Linked DNA regions of Drosophila melanogaster. The protein of the gene in region 1 interacts with the protein of each later gene in a pairwise test. Each region holds a gene or a part of one and is shown on either strand. Other genes may lie near its edges.

Evidence for each region. The genes of interacting proteins can lie anywhere in the genome.
Region 2: the proteins of crq (region 1) and Spn43Ab interact in a two-hybrid assay, tested with the Drosophila melanogaster proteins (one large-scale study listed by BioGRID).

Annotation. Positions count from the first base shown.
Region 1 is NT_033779.5:447,724-454,594, reverse strand, and holds crq (croquemort), read left to right. Parts: upstream 1-1,570; 5' UTR 1,571-2,018; intron 2,019-3,292; exon of another isoform or gene 3,293-3,365; intron 3,366-3,716; 5' UTR 3,717-3,800; coding exon 3,801-3,929; intron 3,930-4,054; coding exon 4,055-5,160; intron 5,161-5,274; coding exon 5,275-5,365; intron 5,366-5,424; coding exon 5,425-5,574; 3' UTR 5,575-6,341; downstream 6,342-6,871. Other genes in the region: shv (shriveled), read right to left, coding at 210-265, 325-1,333.
Region 2 is NT_033778.4:7,151,150-7,155,333, reverse strand, and holds Spn43Ab (serpin 43Ab), read left to right. Parts: upstream 1-1,691; 5' UTR 1,692-1,769; coding exon 1,770-1,797; intron 1,798-2,189; coding exon 2,190-3,076; intron 3,077-3,270; coding exon 3,271-3,415; intron 3,416-3,481; coding exon 3,482-3,603; 3' UTR 3,604-3,672; downstream 3,673-4,184. Other genes in the region: Spn43Ad (serpin 43Ad), read left to right, coding at 1-935, 1,134-1,284, 1,342-1,454.

The sequences.
Region 1 (6,871 bases):
CAGGAACCGCCTTAATAGTTCCCTCTCATTACACTTTTGCTATTTTACAAAATTCTAAACTAAAATTAAATTGTTTTCGCACAACTTTTTTGAACAAAGTCATCTCTTGAATTAGGGGCGTTCCCAAATCAAAGTCGCCCTGTTAGTTAGGCATTTAAAAACTAGAGTACAGCCGGCGAGCACTTTTATTGGGGATGAAACATGGGTATTCACAGTCCATTGTATATGCGATTGATGGAGGATTGGTCGAGTATTTTCTTGAGCGCTAGAATTAGAAACGTTTATTAATGAAACAATTACTCTTGTGATAATGTATATGCTAACCTTCCTTGTCCTCCTCCGTAAGATCCTTCTTGGGGAACTCCACATCGAAGGTGATGTACAGGTTGCCGGTGAGGTTGTTGTTCTCAAAGTTGGGCATGCCCTCGCCCTTCTTGCGGATTCTAGCGCCGGGCCACGTTACCTTCTCTCTCGTGACGGGCACCAGGTGTCCATCAAGGTGCTTGATCTCCATGGAGAAGCCGACAAGGGCATCCTGCAGACTGATGGTCACGTTCGTGTACAGATCATCATTCTTGCGCAGGAATCGCGGATGCGGCATTTGTTGAACCCGCACAATGAGGTCGCCGGGCTCCCCATCGATATGTGGCTCCCCCTCGGCCACGAACCTCGTCTCTTGGCCGTCGACCATGCCCTGTTCCACCTCGATCTCCAATGTGCGCTCCTCGTTGACTAGCTTCACGTTGGGACACTCGTCGCACACCGTCTGTTGGATCATCTGGAAGCGCCCGGGTCCAAGGTTCCGGGTGACCATCTCCTGGCGGCAGTTGCATTTCCTGGTGCCTGAGGCGGGTTTCGTTACAGGCTTGTTCCTCACAATTTCCACAAAGTTTCCGGAGTATAGCTCCTCCAGGGAAACGTACAAGTCCATTACGATATCGGCGCCTCGCGGAGCATCTTGCTGCTGGCCATCACCACCGAAGTGAAAGCCGAAGTCCCCAAAGAAGCTAGAGAACGGATCACCACCGTGATCCATCATGCCCTCCTTCTTGAGGCATTCCTCGCCGCAGCGGTCGTAGGTCTTCCGTTTGTCCGGATTGGAGAGGACTTCGTAGGCCGCTCCCAGGTCCTGGAACTTTGTGGAGGCATCCGGGTCGTCCTTGTTCTTATCCGGATGCAGCTCCTTGGCCAAACGGCGATACGCCTTCTTCACTTCGTTCGTGTTGGCGTTTTTCTTTACGTTCAGTATTTTGTAGAAGTCCCGGCCGGCAAATGACTCCTCCACCAGCAAGAGGGACAGCTGAATTATAACCAAGCACTTGATAAGCTGCATTTCGTTTTTGATCCTGTTTGATTCAGCAATTCATTCTTTTTAACCAGCTGATTCGAAATACGATTTTAAATGCTGGCAAAAGTGTAAAAAAATTGTAGTTGTCGCCGCTGGCAGCTTTGTTTGTGTGTGTGAGTCGTGGTCTGCGCTGATTGGTTGGCACTGTCGTTAGGGTTGTCACCACTTCTCTAACAGAACAGCTGTTTCGCATTACAGTCAATCCAAAAACTGTGGCAACGTTGCTTACAGTGCTGTTACAGCGCATATAAACGCTTCTGGTCACACTCGCCCAGCGAAGATAAAGAAATAAATTGTTTAATCCAATTTAGCCCAGCAAACTGCAAGTTTGCAGTTTATCTTTCTCTGCTTGCCCTCTTCGGCAACGCGAAAGTGCCTTTTTTTTAGTTGGATAGCAGCTTTCAGATCAATTCCAAAGGCGCTTCCCACGCTTGAGTTTAGCTGTAAAAGTAATAAGAAGGGAAGTCTGACAATTTGAATCCCTTTCGTACGGTACTTTTGCGATTCCAGGCACCAAAGGTAAAGGGACTAAGCGATCATCGAAGCGGGAAGTCCCAGAAAAATAAATTTACTCCGAACTATGGCATAATAAATGTCAAGGCCAAAGCAAAACAATAACAGAGCCATCAGAAGCTAATGCTAAAAGACGTAGTTGTGTGTGAGATAAAAGGTGAGTAATTCATCACTTTAATTATGCAGCCGGTAATGTGCAATAATACGTGAATATAACTGTACGCCTAATTCGCAACTGGTGATGTCAACACTTTAAGCGCAAGTTGATCGAGGTTTAAGTTCAACCAGAAAGCAAACATTTCACGGGATGCAAGCTATCGCCCTCAAAAGAGAGACAACATGCAGTAAACATATATAGTGCATACACAATGCAGTTTACAACAAACTATTTTAAAAACCATTTAATATTAATCAATTATTATTAATATTAATTCGCCTTAAACAGTTAACATGAATTCTCGAGTTATCCTACTGGGACTCGTACAAGCTCAAAAGGCTCTACTGTAGTTCCAGACCCCCTTTTTTGCCTGTTATCAGTCGTTAAACAAAGAAATATTCATTGTAGTATAGAGCCAGCCCAATAATCCGACAAAAACAAGACTGAGTCAGTCGACGGGAGGAAACAAAGCAGGGAATCGAAATTGCAATACGATATGCACCAGACTTACGATAAAAACAGGCCCCGTTCCTATTGCATTAAAAGAACTTTGGATTACAGGACGGATCAAGGCTGATATGGTATAGTAAAGCATATTTCGACCGAATTATCAGTATCTCCACAAAGCTAATCTTATCAGTGCCATAAATAGGAACCCCTTGTGAGAACATCTTGACCAACCAACCACAGAAGCAAATAGCCGAGAAATGCGGGTATTACCCAGATAACGATACTAAACACTATCTTAGACTTGAATGAATTTGAATTGCAGACAAGCATGGACATAAATAACATCTAGGCATGAAATTACCATAATTATAAATGTTTATAATATTAAAAGGAATTTTAACTATTGTAAATCAATCTGCCATAAAACCTACTCACTCGATCAGAATAACCACCCGAGTCGATCTAGCCATCCGCCTTCGCATGAACGCTTTGATCTCGCGAACTATAAATGTTAGAAAGATAAGATTTTCATTTCTATCGCTATGCTACAAATATTTGCAACATACCCACTCTGAATACCAAAATATTAAAATTTTGTGGCAGCCAGCTACCTGAGTTACGAGTAACTGAAAGTCGAGGAATTCGAGTAGAGTGATCTCTTTTTTGTGTTTCTCCAAACGCATCCAAGTTAATGCCAATCAAGCAAATATTCCCGACTAGCAAAGTCCAGAGATTAATAAACGAACCGAGTGGTAATTGAACGTCAAGTGAACCCATTAAAAGACACACAGTAGACCGCTGGCCACCAGTTTCGCCCTGCCAGGGGACGCGTACGGTTTTGATAGTTCCGATTGTGCTAAGGCCGGAATATTTTCGATCCCCTTTGATTGAAAACTAGTAAGTTTAGGCGACCTAAACAGTGGCAAGTGCTAGAAAACTGAATAGATCTGCGGATGTCTGCACTTGAAGTTGACTGTGCGGATAAGTGGGCTGTCCCACGTAATCTTCTCCAACTGTCATGGACTGCAAAATATATTCAAAAATATACACTTATAATCGCCGATGCTTATCGAATACTTAAGCAGGGACCAGCCGGCGATAAGCCTTGGTCTTATTATTTTCAAAATTACCAACTCTGCAGGGTGCCAGGATGGGTGTACCGGGAAATAAACTAATAAAAATTCGATACGGATTATGGACATTGATTATACAAGGAAAAATAACCCCACAAACTGTCTTCACTTCCAGATGCAACTAACTGCCTAGGGCTGGATTATTCCCACCTTGGCTATTCCTTAAAAGCGTGAACCTTTGGAATCCTACGTATCCACCATGTGCTGCAAGTGCTGCGGGGAAACTCAACGAAAGGTCTGGGTCTTCGGCTTGGGATCGGTTTTCCTTTTGCTGGGAATACTAATCGTGGTCTTCTGGCCGGGTATTGCAGATAACCTTGTAGAGGATGTAAGTATATTTAGCCGTCCGAGATTGCGTATTACAGGTTCAGGGAAATATGTTTACCGAACGATAACTAAAAAAAAAAAAGATTTTCATTTCGACATACTAAAATGAACTTAATCTTTACCCAGGGCCTTACCCTCAAGCCCGGGACTGATGCCTATGAAAGCTGGCTGGAGGCACCTATCCCCATTTACCTGAGCTTTTACATGTTCAATTGGACGAATCCCGAGGACATAAGGAACCCGGACATTAAGCCAAACTTCGTGGAAATGGGTCCGTACACCTTCCTGGAAAAGCACAAGAAGGAGAACTATACGTTTTACGATAATGCAACGGTGGCATATTATGAGCGCCGCACATGGTTCTTTGATCCGGAGAGATCCAATGGCACATTGGACGACATGGTGACTGCTGCCCATGCCATTACCGCCACGGTAGCGGATGAGATGCGAGACCAGCGCAAGATCGTCAAAAAAATCATAAACTTTATGCTGAACCATGAAGGCGGAAAGTTGTACGTAACCAAGCCGGTGGGCGAATGGATCTTCGAGGGTTACCAGGATAACATTACCGATTTCCTAAACCTGTTCAACACCACAAAGATCGACATACCCTACAAACGCTTCGGGTGGCTGGCGGACCGCAATGAGTCGCTGACTTACGATGGCTTGTTTACTATTCACACGGGCACTGACGATATATCTAATCTGGGTAGACTTACCCACTGGAATGGAAAATCAGAAACTGGATTTTACGAGATGCCTTGTGGCATTGTTAATGGAACCACGGGCGACATGTTCCCGCCAAAGATGAATGTAAACGATGAGATTACGATTTTTGCCACCGATGCTTGCAGATTTATGAACCTCCGGCCCCGGGGCACATACGAGAATCACGGCCTGACCGCCACTAAGTGGGTAGGCACCGAGGAGACTCTGGACTCCGGAGAAAACTACCCTAACCAGGCGTGCTTCTGTGATGAGGCGCGATTTGATGAATGTCCCAAGACCGGTGTCGTGGAGTGCAAGGCGTGCCGAGACAAAGCACCCATTTACTCCTCCTTCCCTCACTTTTACCTAGCGGATCAGTCGTATGTTGATGCTGTCAGTGGAATGAAGCCGGAGAAGGAGAAGCACGAGTTCTTCCTAGCCGTGGAACCGATTACTGGAGTGCCTGTCCAAGTGCATGGACGCATCCAGATTAATATGATGATTGAGCCCGATGACGACTTCGAGTAAGTAAAGTAAAAGTTCATGGATAAAAACTACTCATACGATTCATACAATTACGTACATAAAAGCAAAGGTCTCAAGGAAAATGTAAGTCATAAAGTAAATTTTATTTGCAGCATATATCGTGGAGTGCAAAAGGTTTTAATGCCCATGTTCTGGTTCGATCAGTATGCAGAGCTCTCCTCCGAATTGGCATCGAAGGCCAAGGTAAGACCTAATCCATATTTGAAATGTCTTTCATTTAAGTGCCATACTTTCCATTTCAGTTGGCCATTAATTTGTCCAGTTACGGAATCATATTCGGCTATTCCATGATAGCTTTTGCCAGTGTCTTTCTCATCACCGGCATCACGCTGACTGTGACGAAAAAGTGGGTGCGGCGAACTCCCGAGGATGAGGACATACTTACCAACTAGAGCAAAATAGTTTTTAAGCTTTGCCAAAGTGCCAGGAATTGTTAACTCTCCTAGTTCATTCTGATAGTCGCCCGTCAAATGCTGTTCTTTGTCAGTTATGCGTTATGTAATATGTAAGTGATACGAATCGACGTTCGTCTTGCAGTTTGTGATAGCAAAACCTACTCTAAAAAAAAAACTAAAAACTACTCTAACTCTAAAAAAAAAACCTTACTCTATCTGCATATTACACGAATCATTCACAAGTTGAAACTTTCTGTTTGAGACTTAAGTTATCGTACTTGATAAACAATACTTCATACAACTAAAACACTCCGTGCATTTTATTTTAACGTTTTTATTTGAATTTTCATTTATTTTGAAAAGATAGTTTTTTACAATTTCTGTATGCTTTTCTGCAGGACTTTTACTTATCGTATACGATTGTTGGATGCTTTAACGATTTGCTTTATAAATGCATTATTCAAATGTTGTTTTGTAAATTAATAAATAAAAATAATTGTATACGTATATATATTTATTTATATATATGTATATATATTGGTGTATATGTAAGATATATGGCAAAAATTTTACATTTTCTCAAAGATCACATTCCTCAATTTAGCCATAGACTTTTAGTCGAGAAAAATCTACGCAAATATTTGTGACATCCATCAAAAACTCAAATTAATTTTTGCACGCACACTAACACATCCAAAAAAACAGTGGGGGATTATTAATCGAACAAAAAATAATAAACAAAGTGGATACAAAAAATAAATGATAATCATCTCTCGCTTATTACTATGGTGGGGATGGAGGGCAAGTCTAGGCACTCTTGAAATTCTTTAGTTCCCTTCGTCCAGCGATCGGAGCAAGCAAACCCATTTCAAACCATTTCATAGCCGATTTGAATGCTTTTCACTTGATTCTACCGCTGGCCCGATTCGTTGTGAGTATGTGTGTGTGTGTATAAAGAGCGACGTTGCTACGTACTAAAAAATTTGCATAGTATATGTTGCGTTGTTCTTGGTGACTAAAATAGTTATAAATTTAGTATAAGTTTAAATAAAAATCAATCACAGTTGTTTGGGCGGAAGTAGTTAGTTTTAAGTATTCGCATTTCTGGCCTAACTAAGTATTTGCAGCTAAGACTAAAGATCTACGATGTAGTTTAGTAAATTAGGTAGTGGTCGTATTTTATACTTGAGTATTGTTGCTTCCCATTTTGATAAGCTTCCTCTCTATTTCCGATGTTGTGTCATGTTGTGGTCTGTGCTGTGGTTACGTTACCAATTCCCTTAAGTGACTAGAC
Region 2 (4,184 bases), on another chromosome or scaffold:
CCCTACTTGTGGGCCTGGCTATAGCTTTAACGCTTCCAGTCGACGGGGAGCTCTTGGCCAGATCGCCGGCCAGCGTCTCGAGTAACCGCTTTGGCCTACGCCTAACTACTAAGTTGGGACTAACTCAACCAGATGCAAATGTGGTGGTTTCCCCCTTGCTTATACAGGCGGCGCTCAGCCTGCTGTATGCGGAAAGTTCTTCGGAGTACGGTAGCCAACTCCGCCAGGCTCTGGAGCTGACCCACGCCAGTCACCCGAAGCTTGCGGTGCAGGACTTCGAGACCCTTTTGACGGACCTCAAGCAGTCGGCTGCCATTGGCTGTCGCTTGCGGTTGCTGAGTGACCTCTACGCACAGCAGCGCTTCACCTTCAACTTCCGCAATGAATTCGAGACCTTGGCCGCCCGAATGGGCGTCGGCTGCCACCGCTTGTCGTGGGAAAGTGCGTCGAACGCGGCCCAGGATATCAACTACGCCTTCCTTAGCCGCAGCAACTTCAGCCTGGGGGAGCTCGTCAGTGCCCCCCAACTCGAGTCCTTGGCCGAGCACAACACGCCCTTTTTACACGTCTCGGGAGTCACCTTCCGAGCCCCTTGGGCTTGGGCCTTCGATCCTACCGAGACGCAGAGCATCAACTTCTTTGCCGGGGGAAATCGCCCCAGGCTGGTGGATGCCATGTTCGGACAGCACCGCTACAGGTACGCTGAAGTGCCCGCTCTGGACGCCCAGCTCATTGAGGTGCCCTTCGCCACTGCAGACCTCCGAATGCTCATTGTATTTCCCAATCGGCCTGATGGCCTGGCCCAACTTGAGAGGAAGCTGGCGCAGTCCGATCTCCACCAGCTAAGGTCCCAGCTCGAGGAGCGCAAGGTGGCCCTCACTCTGCCCAAGCTCAGAGTGCTAGTCCACTCCGACCTGAAGCACGTGCTCGAGGAGGTGAGTTAACAACTGTTAGGATTTCTCTTGGAACTGCAGCTTGTACAAGTTCAAATCAAACGTTTTCCATATGGAACGCAATATTAAATAAGAAACGCTAGAGTTACGTGGATACTTATTAAGCTAAGAAGCAGTCATTAGACTTCTCCTTTGGCTTGAGTGGGAAATTTAATGTTCTCAACATGATTTCCCTTGCAGTTGGGTCTGGCAAAACTATTCACATCGGAGGTCCACCTGAGCGAGGTCTTCAGCTCCATCCTGTCCAGTTCGGCTCCACCCTTGGGAGCAGTGGTCCAGAGTGGTCTCCTGGAGCTACAGGAGGATGGCGGCAATGCCGACGACTCGTTCTGTAAGTGATCACGCCAGTCTCTGACCAAGAAGCCTCCTAAACCAGGTGTACTTCTAGCCTTCGGGGATCTGTTCCGACGAGCCCTGCCCCTGGTCATCAATCACCCGTTCTTTTACGCCATCGGCAATGGCAAAACTCTGCTGCTGTCCGGCCACATCGTCGACATCTGAGTCTTTCTAGGCATACCTAATTCTCGATTCCAATGCTAGTTCAAGCCGGGCGGGCTATCGCCTTATCAGCCCCACTCAAATCTCCGCGAAATAAACAGAATCACCCGTGGCCAGCCAAAGGTGACAAATGATTTGTAAACACACTTGATCGGTATTTGTATTTGGGACCCGAGAGCTGAGTTTCGTGTTTGAATCCGACTTGGATCAACCTCTATAGGCGCTCTGCGATCGCAGAGATTTCAGTTCACATTCCGACGAGCTCAAGTGCGAATCAAGCGGAGCAGGAGACGCCCATCAACAATTTATGTGACGACCATGGCTGTCATCATCAGCTGCCTATTACGTAAGCCCCAATTAAGCGATCTGGTTTGTGCACTGTACGAAAGCTGTACAGGAATGTATTTCCACTTTAAAGGCCGTTGCTATCAAAAGAGTTGCTACAATTTTGGGTGTTTTATTATCATTAAGAATAAATTTCTTCTATTTTCAATTGATATTTGACGTAATGCCACAGTTTCTAACTTGGTGATAAAGTCAAATCGATTTCAAAGTGACAAATATCCTTCCTATTTCTGTGAAAATTATATAAAAAGTGAATCAAATCGCACGAAAAAATATGTGAATTAAATGTGACAATTATTCGAGCTATAATTTTCTCCAAGTGTGCCTCATCTGGCGGGGCGGAGCCTGCAAACAAATTGCGACTAATGCCATGTTTCGCATCGATTCCTTTAGTTCTCCTCGCGACAGTGTCGCAGTCCAAGACCGTGGGTTACGATGCGGCTGCCGATCGCAATTTGCTGGCTGCCGATCTCTACAACGCCGTGGCCGCCGATCATCTGAACGAAAATGTGGTCATCTCGCCAGCGACCATACAGAGTTCCATGGCGCTGGCCTTCGTGGGGGCCAAGGGTCAGACGGCATCGGAGTTGCAGCAGGGGCTGCGTTTAGGTCCTGGCGATGCGGATGCGGTGAGCCAGCGCAGCGGTAGTTACCAACAGGCCCTGACCCGCGACAACAACTTCCGGCTGGCCAACAACATTTACATCAACGAGAACCTTGAGTTCAAGGGCTCCTTCAGGGACGTGGCCCAGCGCCAGTTCGACTCGAACATCGACAAGCTGGACTTTCACCCGCCGTACAACAAGCGCACGGCGGATGGCATCAACCGGGCGGTGGCCACCAAGACCAACGGCAAGATCACTGACATCCTCCGCGCCGAGCTGCTGAATGATCGCACCGAGGGAGTGATCGTGAACGGCGTTTCCTACTCAGCCGCCTGGCAAAAGGCCTTCCGGCTGGACAAGACCGAAAAGCGCTCCTTCCGCACCGGAAGCGGGCAGTCTGTCAAGGTAGACACCATGTGGACGCTGCAGAACTTCAACTACGCCGAGGTCAACTCCCTGGACGCCAAGGTGGTGGAGCTGCCCTACCAGAACCCCGACTTCTCCATGCTGCTGCTCCTGCCCAATCGCAAGGATGGTCTGAGATCCCTGCAGCAGTCGCTGTCCGGTAAGAATCTTCTGGCCGAAATCGGAGCGATGAGCCAGCAAAAGGTGGAGGTGCTGCTGCCCAAGTTTAGTGTCACCTTTGGCTTGGGTTTGGAGGGACCATTCAAGAAGGTAAGTAGGAATCGATTTGAGCGAATTTTCAAGTGGTTACGATATTGTAATAATATTTCTTTGGATTATGAGAAAGGTTTTTTTCATAAGTCAGTTGATAAATTCTGATTGCATTTTTACATTTTTACATTTTTAAAAGACTATCAACTATTTATGATGATGTTTAATCTAACACTTTAACTTTCGTCAACTAGCTGGGCGTCCATACAATGTTCTCGAGAGATGGTGACTTTGGCAACATGTACCGCATGTTTGTCAGCCATTTCATTAACGCAGTGGAGCACAAGGCCAATGTGGAGGTCACTGAAGCTGGCGTGGATCAACCCCTGGAAACTGGATGTGAGTAGACACCTAAGTGCACTAAGCAGATCCCAGTGAAGTGACTACCTTTCTTCCGAAATCCAGTGCTTAAAGGACTCTTTTCGCGCTCCAAGAAGTTCGAGGCAGATCATCCGTTCGTGTTCGCCATCAAGTACAAGGACTCAATCGCCTTTATCGGACACATTGCTAACTATGCTTATGTCTAAGCTAGATCGCAGATACGGAGTAGATCATTTTGTTAAAACTTACAAATAAAAAACACACGTAAATTGACCTAATGAATGTTACTTTTTGAACAAAAGACTGACAGAAATTAACAACTTGTATGAAACTGGAATGGACGACGTCCAAGTGTTTTTCCCAAAGGTTGCATTTTAGATTATTTTTAATCCGGCGCGGCACTCACCTTTCTAGCTCAACAGGCATTTGATTTGGGGTATCCATGTTTGCGGAGCGGAGGATGTATCCGAAGTTTTTATGGCTGGCGTTCTACGGGCTGATGTCTTTTCGGTTTCTTTGTCGCTTGATTGGCACTCACAGGTATTTCACTGGTGACACTGGGGGCGGGGGTGATGCCTTTCGGCATTACTTATATTTATTATCTTATTCTGCGGTTTCTCGGCCGACTGCGCTGCGTTGTTTCCTTTAATCGCGCACATAAATCAACAAAAGCCGAGCCAGCTGACAACAATTTGAGCTTAGGCGTATTTATTATAAATTTCTTGGCGCGTTCGTGAAAAAATTCGCGGAGTGCCTGTCGATAAACTGGTTCGCGCACCGAATTAAC